3 linked regions of the Macaca mulatta genome follow. The protein of the gene in region 3 interacts with the protein of the main gene of each other region in a pairwise test. Links are inferred from orthologs where the notes say so. Each region holds a gene or a part of one and is shown on either strand. Other genes may lie near its edges.

Region 1 (4,148 bases), on a different chromosome or scaffold from region 3:
AGCTGTAAGTTCTAATCATAACTTAAAGGTAATACAAGTGATAGAAGATAAAGCTAAATGCTACCATGAGGAAGCAATCTGATATATCTGAAAGGAACATGCTATAAGACAAAAGTCAGTATCATGAAAAACTGAATCCCAATCATGAAAAAATAAAACTATTCTAATTTCAGAGACTCAAGGGACATAATCACCAGATACAGTGTATGGTCTTAAATTCTGGTTGGACATTCCAGCTACGAAGTACATTTTAGGAATAGCTAGGGGCATTTGAATAAGGCTTGCATCTAAGATGATTTAAAGGAATTATCAGCTGGGTGTGGCCGCTCACTCCTGTAATCCCAGCACTTTGGGAGGCTGAGGCGGGTAAATCACTTGAGGGCAGAAGATTGAGACCAGCCTGACAAACATAGCAAAACCTCTCTACTGAAAATACAAAAAATTAGCTGGGTGGAGTGGCACACGCCTATAATCCCAGCTACTTGGGGGGAGGCTGAGGCACCAGAATTGCTTGAACCTGGGAAGCAGAGGTTGCAGTGAGCCGAGATGGCGCCACTGCATCCCAGCCTGGACAACAGCACCAAGACCCTGTCTCAAAAAACAGTGTATATATATATACACATATATACACATATACATATATATATATATATACAATTTTGATACATTTGATTATGTGGTTTTGGCTATAGAGGAAAATGTTCTTTTTTAAAAAAACTCTAGAAGAGTTGGGAAGATCTTGTTTTATTTTTAATTTAAATAATTTTAGAGACAGGATCTCATTATGTTGCCCAGGCTGGAGTGCAGTGGCTATTCACAAGCGTGATTGCGGTGCACCACAGCCTAAAACTCCTGAGCTCAAACAATCCTTCTGCTTCAGCCTCCCGGGCCACTGGGACTACAGGTGTGAGCCACCGTGCCTGGCCTTATCAGTTTTATTTACCACTATATGCTCAGCAACTAGCATAAGACAGACATATAATAGGAACTAGGTAAATGACTATTGGGTGGGCCCCTCTGGGGTGCTCAGCCTGTCTTCCCTAACTCTTAGCAATGGCCCTCTCATTTTCCCAGTCCTTCATGGCAAATTAAGTTGTCTAAACAGGCCTTCACCACTACTTTGCCTTATGATTCTCCCAAATTTGCTCTGGCCTCCATCTCTCCACAGAGCCAGCTTGCATAAAGGTCACCAGTGACAACTTCCATCCCACTATGACCAAGCAGCACTTTCCAGACTCCTGGCTTGACCTCTCAGTTTATAGGACCACTGGCCACACCCTTCCTATAATGCTTCCCTTGGCCTCTCACACGCATGGACACACTTTCCGACCTTTTCTCCTTCCTTTCTCTCAGACCCCCTCCTTCACAGTCTCTTTTGCAGATTTCTCTTCCTCTACTCTCTCTGGGCAAGCTTCCCCATGCCAGTGGATCTGTTTCTGTTTACAATCCAACTATTCCTAAATCTATGGCTCTGGCGAAGATGGCTCCTGCATTTTCCAGCTAGCTATTGTTTGGGTCTTTTTGGATGGCCCACGGGTTCTTCCAATGGACTGTGTCCAAAATTCACTATCATCTTTGCCCACCTCCCCCAAACAACGGATTAACCTAGTCCTTCTCACCCTTCTTTCTCGCTCAGAAAATATCACTGCTGTCACTCAATTGTGCAAGCAAGAAATCTGTTACTCTAGATGTCTCCCTCACCACTTGGAAGCAATGATTGTGATCCCTGTCTCCAAAACATCTCCACAATCTATGATACATCTAGCTTCTCCATCTCCACTCTCACTTCTCTAGGTAGGCCGCCATTTGAATTCTCACCTGGATTATCACAAAAGCTTTCTAACTATTGCCTTGAATCCAGCCCACATCCACCAGGACACTCCTTTGAAAATGCAAATCTAATTGAGACAGACTGTTTAAACTCATCAATGGCTTCCCACTGCTCTTGGAATAAACAAGCCCTGAATGATCTCAATGTGTCCCTGGGGCCACCCTCCCATCACTGTCTAGGCCCTGGTCTTTCAGTTCCTCCTAAGAGGAAGCATACAGCCTGTGGTCTTAGACCGGGGAACCCTTCACCTGACCGGTTCTCTAGTCCCAGAACAGAGTCTCAGCTGTCATTAAGCCTCCCAAATCGGGTCAAACACCTCTGGTATCTGCTCCCATGCGCCCCCGACTTCTCCTTCATGTAACGCCGTACAATTCCAATCATTCAGCTAACGATTTATTAATAAAATTTTATATATATCTGTTTCATGGTAAATTCATCATTGTATTTCCACGGTCTGGAAAAAGCCTACCACTTAGTAGGGCTCCAATTAACATTTTTTTTTTCCTGTCATTTTCTGCTCACTTCTTAACTTGGTCTTTGCTGTCCTGCCTACTCAAATCCCTCGCCAGAAAGTTGCCTGGAACCCTCTTACCCCCGATGCACCCAACACAAGCTCTACTGCTGGGCGAACATTATTGGAATAAACGACGTATGATTTACACCCTCAATCTCACAACCCTCCCTTTCCAGTCCCTCCCCAATCTCGCATCCCTCCCTTTGCAGCCCCTCCCCAATCTCCCATTCCTTCCTTTGCAACCCCTCCCCTCGGATTTCCACCCCTCGGGTTTCTGCTTCCCTCTGCCTCCCTTCTCCTACACGGCCTCCTCTCCCCGCCGCCCCCTAGCCTGGGCCCGCCCCCGGCCTGCCAGGAGCTGACACCTGACTCACCTGGGCAGCCTGGTGCGCCACCTGCCATCGGCTCAGCTCCCCAGCCTCCTGTTCCATCTCAGCCCGCGGTCGGTTGTACATGAAGACTGGGTGGGGTCTAGACTCTACTGAACAGACAGGAAACCAGCCACCACGGCGTCGCAGGCGGGTATCGGGACATCGCCACGCCACAATCACCTTCTATTTACCTACTTACAACTGCGCCAGGGGGCGGAGTCAGCCCCACCCGTCCCGCCCTGCGCCGCCCCCGCAGCCCTGCCCTAGGCTGCCCACCCCAACCAAGGCGGCATCACGGACAGCCACCTTAGGCCTTGAACGCTTCCTAAAGGAAGTTGGTCCGCCCACCCAACCCACCCATTCCACCCTTCAGTCTGAGCAACTGTTTCACCCAAGTAGGGGCTGAGGACCCCCAGGTCTCAGACTCCACCCAGGAGGAGGCTGGAGAGAGAGGCAAGGCTGGGTGTAGGGCGTCTGCCGACAGGAGAGCCTCCACCAGCACTCTATCAGGTCGGGAGTTGCCATAAGCTTTGGGAGGGCTGGAGCTTTTCTGCTACAGTCTGTGCACCTCTGTCCCTTGTCTGTACGAACTGAAGACTGCGAGCTTCATGGCACAATCTATTTATTCCACAGTGTTTACTGAGTGCCCAGTGTGTGTTGGGCATTGGTCTCTGAACTAGGGGTAAAATGGTGAACAGGACAGAACAAAGTCCTTGCTGTCAATTTCCATTTTACATGGGCAGACAAGAAATGAGTAATAAAGTTGTTAACTATTATAACTTTAGATGGTGGTGAGTGCTATGGAAAACCAAAAGACAAATGTGAGCTGAAAACGAAATGCCTGAAAGGAGCCAGCCATAGGAAGATTGAAAGGCTCTAAGGCAAGAAAGAGCCCAACAGTGCTAGAAGGAAATTGAAGGCAGGGTGACCACAGTGATACCGCATGGGCAGTGACACGAGGACAGAGGGATAGGGCCTTGAAGACAGTAGAAAGGAGTTTGGATTTTATTCTGGAACTTGATATGATCTGATACATGTTTTTAAAATAAGCCATTTGGCTCCTTATGGATTATAAAGGGCCAGAGGGGTGCAGAGACACCAGTTAGAAATCTAAAGGAGCTGTGGCTGGGCCAATGGTTCATGTCTGTAATGCCAGCACTTTGGGAGGCTGAGGTGGGCGGATCACCTGAGTTGGGAGTTTGAGACCAGCCTGACCAACATGGAGAAACCTACTAAAAATACAAAATTAGCCAGGCGTGGTGGTGCATGCCTGTAATCCCAGCTACTCAGGAGGCTGAGGCAGGAGAATCACTTGAACCTGGGAGGCGGAGGTTACAGTGAGCCGAGATCGCACCATTGCACTCCAGCCTGGGCAACAAGAGTGAAACTCCGTCTCAAAAAATAAAATAAAATAAATAAATCTAAAGGAGCT
Region 2 (4,245 bases), about 35 Mb from region 3:
CCAACAACTATCAATTAAATCTAGGTGAGAGAGTATTCAGGTGTGAGCCACTGCATCCAGCCAAGGGAGGAGTATTATACCCTGTCTACCTCTAGCCCCATCCTGCATGTCTATTCATCTTGAACTAAAAGCTTGTCTTATTACAACAGCTATTACTGCTAACAAGGAAACGTGTTGCTAACCAGGCACGGTGGCATGTGCCTGTAGTCCCACCTGCTTGGGGGTCTGAGGCAGGAGGATGGCTTGAACCCTGGAGGTCTAGGCTGTAGTGAGTTGAGATGGCACCCCTACACTCCAACCTGGGTGACAGAGCGAGACCCTGTCTCAAAAACAAAATAAAATAAAATAAAAAGTAAAGAAAAAAAAAAGGCAGCTGGGCGCGGCATCTCAGGGCTCTAATCCCAGTACTCTGAGAGGGCGGATTACCTTAGGTGAGGAATTTGAGATCTGCCTGGCCAACGAGGTGAAAACCCACCTCTACTAAAAATACAAAAATTAGCCGGGTATGGTGGCACACCCCTGTATTCCCAGCTACTCAGGAGGCTGAGGCAGGATGATTGCTTGAACCTGGGAGGCGGAGGTTACAGTGAACTGAGATCGTGCCACTGCACTCCAGCCTGGGCGACGGAGTGAGAATCTGTCTTAAATAAATAAATAAATAAATAAATAAATAAATAAATAAAATGAAAAAACCACAAAACACATTGCACCCCACTCTGAGGATTTTGCATGAATTGTTTTATTTAATCCTTAAAACAATCCTCTAAACTAGGGGCTATTTTCTCTCATGTTAAAGGAGAAAAAGACCCGAAGGGATTAAAACACTTGCCCCAGGTCACACAGCTGCTTAGGGAATGGAGCCCGGGATGTGATTCCGCACTCCCACCTCACTGCCGCCCTTAACCACAATTAAGTCCAACTGTCCAGCATTGCTTGAGTGTGGTATTGTGTTCTTATAGATACGATCCTATTTAAACTTTCTTGTCAAGAGGTATGCAAGACGATCCCCATTTAACTTTGTGTAGCTTGAAGAGGTTGATCATTTTTCCAAGGTCACGCATCGAGTGAGTGGGGAATCAGGAGTCGGAATTTGAACCTGGGCATATCTGTAGTGTAGACCACTGTCGGGGGTGGATGTGTAAGAAGCTTAATTGCCGGGTTTGGCAGGTGCATGGGTAGTTGTGAGGGGCTCGTACTTTGAGAGGCAAAAGCTCCCACTCGCCACCGTCCCCCAGAGTAAAAAGCCACCTCTTTCCACCCCTCACTCGCGCAGCTGCCCGGGCATGCGCCCAGAAGCCCCTCCTTCAGAATCCGCCCTTTACAGGCTCCGCCCATCACCGTAGAGGGCCAATCCCTGGGGCGGAGGGCGGGGCAGCCACGAGAGTGGGCGGTCGCTAAGGGTAGTTAGGAGTCTGGAGTCGTGAGCCGAAGTCAGAACTGCGTCTCGCGACCCAGGCGCCGGTTGCTGGAGGAGAGCGAGCAAGCGATGCTGCCGCTGCCGTTTCCTGATTGGTTGTGGGTGGCTACCTCTTCGTTCTGATTGGCCGCTAGTGAGCAGGGTATGTAAATGAAGGGGCCTGGGAAGAAAAGGGGTACCAGCGGCCGGGTCCTTCACGGAGTTCGATCCCTGGGTCCGACAGGTGCCCGCCGGGGCTGCCCGGGATCGAGACGCGCGGGCCTCTACGTGCTGTCTGCCCCGGCCGGGCCGGGTGAATCACGCCGCAGTCCGAGAAGGGGGCGGAGGCGCCGGCTCCTTGGCTCCGGCTGCGTGACTCACCCGCCCCCGCCGCCGCCGCTTCGGGAGGAGCCGCCTCCACTGCCGGAAGCGAGCGGAGGCCGGGCGCAGAGAACAGCCCGCCTAGGGTCCTGGCTCTCACGGCGCCGGGAGGCCTGCAGGAATCACAGCCGGGCAGTAGAAGGGGTTCTGGGGTCAGAGGGGCCAGAATCCCCAGGGGAAAGCCGGCCTGGGCACCGCCAGGGGGCGCCGGGACTCGGGGGCGGAGTCGGGGGTGGGGGCGGAATTCCTGCGGTTCCGGACTCCACGGACTGCGGGGAAGGGGACGAAGACCCAGTTTTGAGTAGTGTGGTGGGCCACTCTTAAAATCTTGCTAGGCAGGGTCCCGGAACTGGACTCTAAAGTCTTCCTGGCCCAAAAAAGTAGGTAGCGCCAGGGGTCCAAAACTCCATCCAGCCCTACCCCCGCCACTCCAAGAAAAGAGTGGACCCTCAAACTTATCTCAGTGACTGACCCCGGTGCCGATCACGATTTCTCGACAAGCCCTGTCTATTCTGCCTCCCAAAGAAATCCTGACTCGACCGACTTCCTTCCATACCCACTACCAGCTCCTGCTCCAGGCCATCACTATCGTCAGTCCCAAACCAGTACAGCCTACTAGTGGGTCTCAGATCCCCCCTCTTTTTGCCCCCTACAGTATTCCTCGAAGCAGCCATGGGGGGGATCTTCCGGAAACCTAATCAGCTCACACCCCCATTCCCTCCGTGCTCAAATTCCTTTAATGACTGCCCACCACACTCAGGATAAAATCCAAACTCCCTACTAATGCATATGTGGTTTTCTGTGACCTGGCTTGTGCCCATTCCCCCAGCCTCTGGGCTTTTCTTTGCCTTTTTTTGTTGTTCCCTCCTCCCGGAATGCTTTTCCCAGGGTCTCCCATGGCCGACTTCTCTGGCCTGAGGGCTCCATTCAAATGTCACCTCCTTACAGGAGCCTTCTCTGATCATCTAAAAGGTCTCCAGGACCTTTTAGTGTCTTCCTGTAATTCTCCGTACATTTCCTGTGTTTGCTTATTTATTTACTGTTTGAAACGTCATAGTAGACAATAAGTGTTAAACTATGTGAAACTAGTTTAGTATTTATAATATAACTTACTTAGATATAATTATTTATAACGTTATTATAATATATGAAACAGCTGCTTTTGTAGGGGAAAAAGTTGAATGGTCATTCCACATGGTTCACTGAAGAAATAATAATGTTATCATTAAGTGTACTTATTGGCAGGGCATGGCAGCTCACACTTATAATCCCAGTACTTTGGGAGGCTGAGGCGGGAGGATGGCTTAAGGCAAAGAGTTTGAGACCACCCTGGGTAACATAGTAAGACTTTGTCTCTACAAAAAATAAAAGGGGGGAAAAAAAGAGTGTTTATTGATTGAGGGGGGAGGATCACTTCAGGCCAGGGGGTTTGAGACCAGCCTGGGCAATATAGTGAGACCCCATCTCTTTTTTCAGATTAAAAAGTCTATAAATATACTTAAATACAAAATTTAAAATTTAAGGCCGGGCGCGGTGGCTCATGCCTGTAATCCCAGCACTTTGTGAGGCCGAGATGGGTGGATCATGAGGTCAGGAGATCGAGACCATCCTGGCTAACATGGTGAAACCCCATCTTTACTAAAAATACAAAAATTAGCCGGGCGTGGTGGCGGGCGCCTGTAGTCCCAGCTATGTGGGAGGCTGAGGCAGGAGAATGGGGTGAACCCCGGAGGCGGAGCGTGCAGTGAGCCGAGATCGAGCCACTGCACTCCAGCCTGGGCAACAGAGAGAGAGACTGTCTCAAAAAAAAAAAAAAATTTCTTTTAAAGTCTATAGGCTGGGTGTGGTGGCTCACACCTGTAATCCCAGCACTTTGGGAACCAGAGGTGGGCGGATTACTTAAGGTCCAGGAGGTCGAGACCAGGCTGGCCAACATGGTAAAACCCCGCCCCTACTAAAAATATAAAAATTAGCCAGATATGGTGGCGTGCGCCTGCAATCCTAGCTTTTGGGGAGGCTGAGGCACGAGAAACACTTGAACCCGTGAGGCAGAGGTTGCAATGAGCTGAGATCACGGCATTGCACTCCAGCCTGAGCAACAGAGCGAGACTCTATCTCAAAATAATAATAATAATTTATAAATATACATATGCAATTAAATAAAAATTATCTATATCTTTAAAGTTCCCTAGGAAAAGCTAGACACAGAGAGGTTAAGTGACTTGCCCAAGATCCTACCTGTAGCAACTGTCAGATCCAGGCTTTGAACTGAACATTTGTTTTCTATAACTGACTATAACTCCATAACTCCCTGCCCTCTGCAGATGCTGAGCAAGGGTCTGAAGCGGAAACGGGAGGAGGAGGAGGAGAAGGAACCTCTGGCAGTCGACGCCTGGTGGCTGGATCCTGGCCACGCATCGGTGGCACAGGCACCCCCAGCTGTGGCCTCTAGCTCCCTCTTTGACCTC
Region 3 (4,236 bases):
TAATCCACACATCTCTGGATATCGTCATGTTATCAGCAAGACCCTGCCTCCAAAGATACCTTCACTTTCATACATTCCGTTCCTCTCCTCATAATGGGAGGAAGGGGCTGGGTGCCGTGGTTCACACCTATAATCCCAGCACTTTGGGAGGCTGAAGTGGGCGGATCATCAGAGGTCAGGAATTCGAGACCAGCCTGGCCAACATGGTGAAGCCCCATCTCTACTAAAAATACAAAAAAGTAGCTGGGCATGGCGGCAGGCACCTGTAATCCCAGTTACTTGGGAGGCTGAGGCAGGAGAATCACTTGAACCCGGGAGGAGGAGGTTGCAGTGAGCCGAGATCATGCCACTGCACTCCAGCTTGGGCAACAAGAATGAGACTCCATCTCAAAAAAAAAAAAAAAAAAAAAAAAGGGGGGGGACGGTTTCCTCAAACGGGTCAGAGCAGAGGCACACAGCTAATATTCACGTTTTTCTAAAGGGCAGACAAAAGGCATTTTGCAAATAACTGAATACCACACACACTATCTAGATTGTAAGGCCAGTTCTCCACTCAGACACCCTCACCTGGTGACACCATACCTTCATTAGGGCATGCTGAGCAGCAGCCTTGCAGAGACCATCCTTGGTGGGTCTGAGGTTCCCAAGCTGCTAGGGACTCTCTCTGAGAGAGACACGAGTCCCTGGGTCATATGATGACTAGGAATTCAATGAAGGTAGGGTGGGGAGACCTAGAACTTCCCTCCTGACCACTCAGTTCCCTGTCGGGGTCCCCTCAGGGAATATCCTGGGTTTAGGTTTCTGTATGGCTCTGAGCAAGTTCCTCTCCCGCTCTGTGCCTTGGTTATTCTATCTGATAAGCAAGAAGTTTGGGACAGACGAAATGTCAGCCTTCAACCGCCTTGGGGCTCTGTGCATCTACCCTTCAGCCTGGGGTCAGCCCTACCCTGTCTGAGCCTCAGTTTCCCCATCGGTAATTTGATCATGATGGCCAAGGTGACCCTGCAAGCTGTCCTCACCCAGACAATGGGGCTCACGAGTAAAAGGTGTGGCCATCAATAATGGATGTCCTGTTACTACACAATTGGGGCCTTGGCCCCGATCACACTGCAGCCGAACCCTGGCCAGCTTGGGTTTCACAGCTCCAAGTTCATGGGCCGGGGCCCCTGGACAATGGCCCCACAGGCTGAGTGATGATATGGGATTCTCATCTGTGCCCATCGTGCTCGGTCACACCAGGGACATGCAGCAGCCTTGGGCCACCTCCCCATACCCTCACCTTAATGCCAAGCCTGCAACCCGTAGTGGGCTCTGGACTTTGCACCTGGGCTCCCAGCCTCAAGTCCCAGTCTCAGGAGAATCTTTATCTTTCATTTTGTTTTTTTGAGACGCAGTCTCATTCTGTCACCCAGGCTGGAGTGCAGCGGCGTGATCTCGGCTCACTGCAACCTCCGCCTCCCAGGTTCAAGCAATTCTCCTGCCTCAGCCTCCCGAGTAGCGGGGATTACAGGCGCCCACCACCACGCCCAGCTGATTTTTGTATTATTAGTAGAGACGGGGTTTCACCGTGTTGGCCAGGCTGATCTTAAACTCCTGACCTCAGGTGATCCACCTGCCTTGTCCTCCCAAAGTACTGGGATTACAGGCGTGAGCCACCGTGCCCAGCCTCAGGAGACTCTTTCTAACAAGCTGATGCTCTCTGCCCTGCTCATGCATGCTCCATGGCTCCCTGCCACCCTTGGGAGAAAGCCCAAGCTCATCAGCCTACAGACTGGGACAATGTGACAAGATGTGACTTCTCAGCTTTTCCATCTCTGCCTCCATGCACTGACCACACCTGCCCCCCTTCCCCATTTGAGTCCCATCAAATTGGAAATACCAGTTGGGCATGGTGGCTCACACCTGTAATTCCAGCACTTTGGAAGGCTGAGGCAGGTGGATTGCTTGAGCCCAGGGGTTTAAGAACAGCCTGGGCAACGTAGTGAGACTCCCATCTCTACGAAAAAATACAAAAATGAGGTGCACATGGCGGCTCGCACCAGTGGTCCCAGCTACTCGAGAGGCTGAGGTGGCAGGATCACCTGATCTTCGGAGATCGAGGCTGCAATGAGCCGCGATTGCACTACTGCACTCCAGCCTAGGCAATAGAGACCTATCTCAAACAAAAAAGAAAAGAAGGAAGGGAGGGAGGGAGGGAGGGAGGGAGGGAGGGGAACGAAAGAGGAAAGAAAGGGAGAAAGAGAGAAAGGGAGAAAGGGAGGAAGGGAGGAGGGGGGAAAGGAGGAAGGGAGGAAGGGAAGAAGGGAAGAAGGGAAGAAGGGAAGAAGGGAAGAAGGACCATACACACACACACACACACACCCCAAATTGCAAATATCCTCCAGCAATGAATAGAAAGTTGTTTTTCCAGATCTTTTCTCTCCACCTCCCTGGACTGACCTCATGATCTCCTTCCTTGTGAAAAACGTGCAGTCCTGTGGAGAGAGGTGTTGTCTTAACCCAAACCCTGCCTCTGGGGCCTCCTCCCATGGCCTCCTCCCTCCACCCCACACTCACACAGATGGCCCAATGCTGCCACACACAGAGCCGAACGAACCAGGAACCCAGGCAGACGGTACACCCGGATGAAGGGATTCTGTTCCCACTTCCCAGACCACGGAACCAAAGCTGTCAAACCCACTGAGGACCCCTCCTGACCCCTCTACCTGATACGCTTCCAGCTGCTCGTGTGTGAAGACTGTCTGCTTGTTGCCCATGGTGTGAACCACAGCCCAGACTCGGGGATGCACGCTGAAGGCTCCCAGCTTCCTCGGGGCCACACGGGTTGCCAGGCTGTTGTGTACCAGTGTCTGGGCAAATCTCCCTGCCCTGGCTGTCACCCGCCCACCCACACCGTCACCCCCTGCTTGGTGAGACTCAAATTACAGCCAGGCTCTCTGGACAACAGCCTGAATGTGTCCATGGGTGAGGATGAGGGCTGTGGGACATCACAGAGAAGCCCTCAGTGGGGAGGCCACATCTGCCACCACCAGGTGAGGCTGGGGTTACGGGCCACACTCAAGAGACAGGGAGGGTATGCGGAAGGGCTATGGGCACACTCCAGCTCAAATTCCAGCTCTCTGCCCACTAGCTGTGTGGCCCTGGGCAAGTCACCTGACTTCTCTGAACCTCATTCATGAGATGAAAATTACATTATACCTACCTCATATGGTCATTCTCAGGATCTGAGATTTAAAAAAAAAAAAAAGATTTTGGCTGGGTGAATTGGCTCATACCTGTAATCCCAGCACTTTGGGAGGCCGAAGCAGGTGGATCACCTGAGGTCAGGAGTTCAAGACCAGCCTGGCCAACATGGCAAAACCCCGTCTCTGCTAAAACTACAAAACTTAACCTGCTGTTGTGGTGCATGCCTGTAATCCCAGCTACTCCAGAGGCTGAGGCAGGAGAATTGCTTGAAAACGCAGGAGGCAGAGGTTGCAGTGAGCCGAGATCACACCATTGCACTCCAGCCTGGGCGACAGAGCGAGACTCCATCTCAAAAAAAAAATACGGTTTTGGTTGGGTGAGGTGGCTCATACCTGCAATCCCAGCACTTTTGGAGGCAAAGCATGAGGTTCGCTTGACGCCAGGAGTTCAAGATCAGCTTAAGCAGCATGGCAAGGCCCTGTCTCTACTAAAAATACAAAAATTAGCTGGACATGTTGGTTCATGCCTGTGGTCCCAGCTACTCGGGAGGCTGAGGTGGGAGGATTGCTTGAGCCCAGGAGTTTGAGGCTGTAGTGAGCCGTGATTGCATCACTGCACTGGGAACATGAACAAACTAGATGAAGTTCTGGGGTGTGCATTGATGTTATTATTATTATTTTATGATGTTTTATTTTTTTGAGATAGAGTCTCACTCTGTTGCCCAGGTTGGAGTGCAGTCGCATGATCTTGGCTCACTGCAATCTCTGCCTCCTGGGCTCAAGCGATTCTCCTGCCTCAGCATCCCAGGTACCTGGGACCACAGGTGTGCACAACCATGCCAAGCTAATTTTTTGTTTGTTTGTTTGTTTTGTGTTTGTGTGTGTGTGTGTGTGTTTTTTTGAGACCAAGTTTTGCTCTGTCACCCAGGCTGGAGTGCAGTGGCGCAATCTTGGCTTACTGCAAGCTCCACCTCCTGGGTTCACGCCATTCTCTTGCCTCAGCCTCCCAAGTAGCTGGGACTACAGGCACCTGCCACCAAACCTGGCTAAT

What was found.
Region 1: the proteins of CIB3 (region 3) and KLF17 interact in binary tests that used the Homo sapiens proteins (3 or more experiments, as listed by UniProt). The two-hybrid records come from large-scale screens. The link is inferred for Macaca mulatta from reciprocal best matches to the Homo sapiens genes CIB3 and KLF17.
Region 2: the proteins of CIB3 (region 3) and SERTAD1 interact in binary tests that used the Homo sapiens proteins (3 or more experiments, as listed by UniProt). The two-hybrid records come from large-scale screens. The link is inferred for Macaca mulatta from reciprocal best matches to the Homo sapiens genes CIB3 and SERTAD1.

What each region holds. Positions count from the first base shown.
Region 1 is NC_133406.1:196,521,081-196,525,228, forward strand, and holds the start of KLF17 (Krueppel-like factor 17), read right to left. Parts: upstream 2,801-4,148; coding exon 2,720-2,800; intron 1-2,719. UniProt on the Homo sapiens protein: Transcription repressor that binds to the promoter of target genes and prevents their expression. Acts as a negative regulator of epithelial-mesenchymal transition and metastasis in breast cancer.
Region 2 is NC_133424.1:51,532,120-51,536,364, reverse strand, and holds the start of SERTAD1 (SERTA domain-containing protein 1), read left to right. Parts: upstream 1-1,445; 5' UTR 1,446-1,559; intron 1,560-4,101; coding exon 4,102-4,245. UniProt on the Homo sapiens protein: Acts at E2F-responsive promoters as coregulator to integrate signals provided by PHD- and/or bromodomain-containing transcription factors. Stimulates E2F1/TFDP1 transcriptional activity.
Region 3 is NC_133424.1:16,649,721-16,653,956, forward strand, and holds the start of CIB3 (calcium and integrin-binding family member 3), read right to left. Parts: upstream 2,801-4,236; 5' UTR 2,757-2,800; coding exon 2,706-2,756; intron 2,475-2,705; coding exon 2,440-2,474; intron 1-2,439. UniProt on the Homo sapiens protein: Acts a an auxiliary subunit of the sensory mechanoelectrical transduction (MET) channel in hair cells. Plays a role in regulating hair cell MET channel localization and function.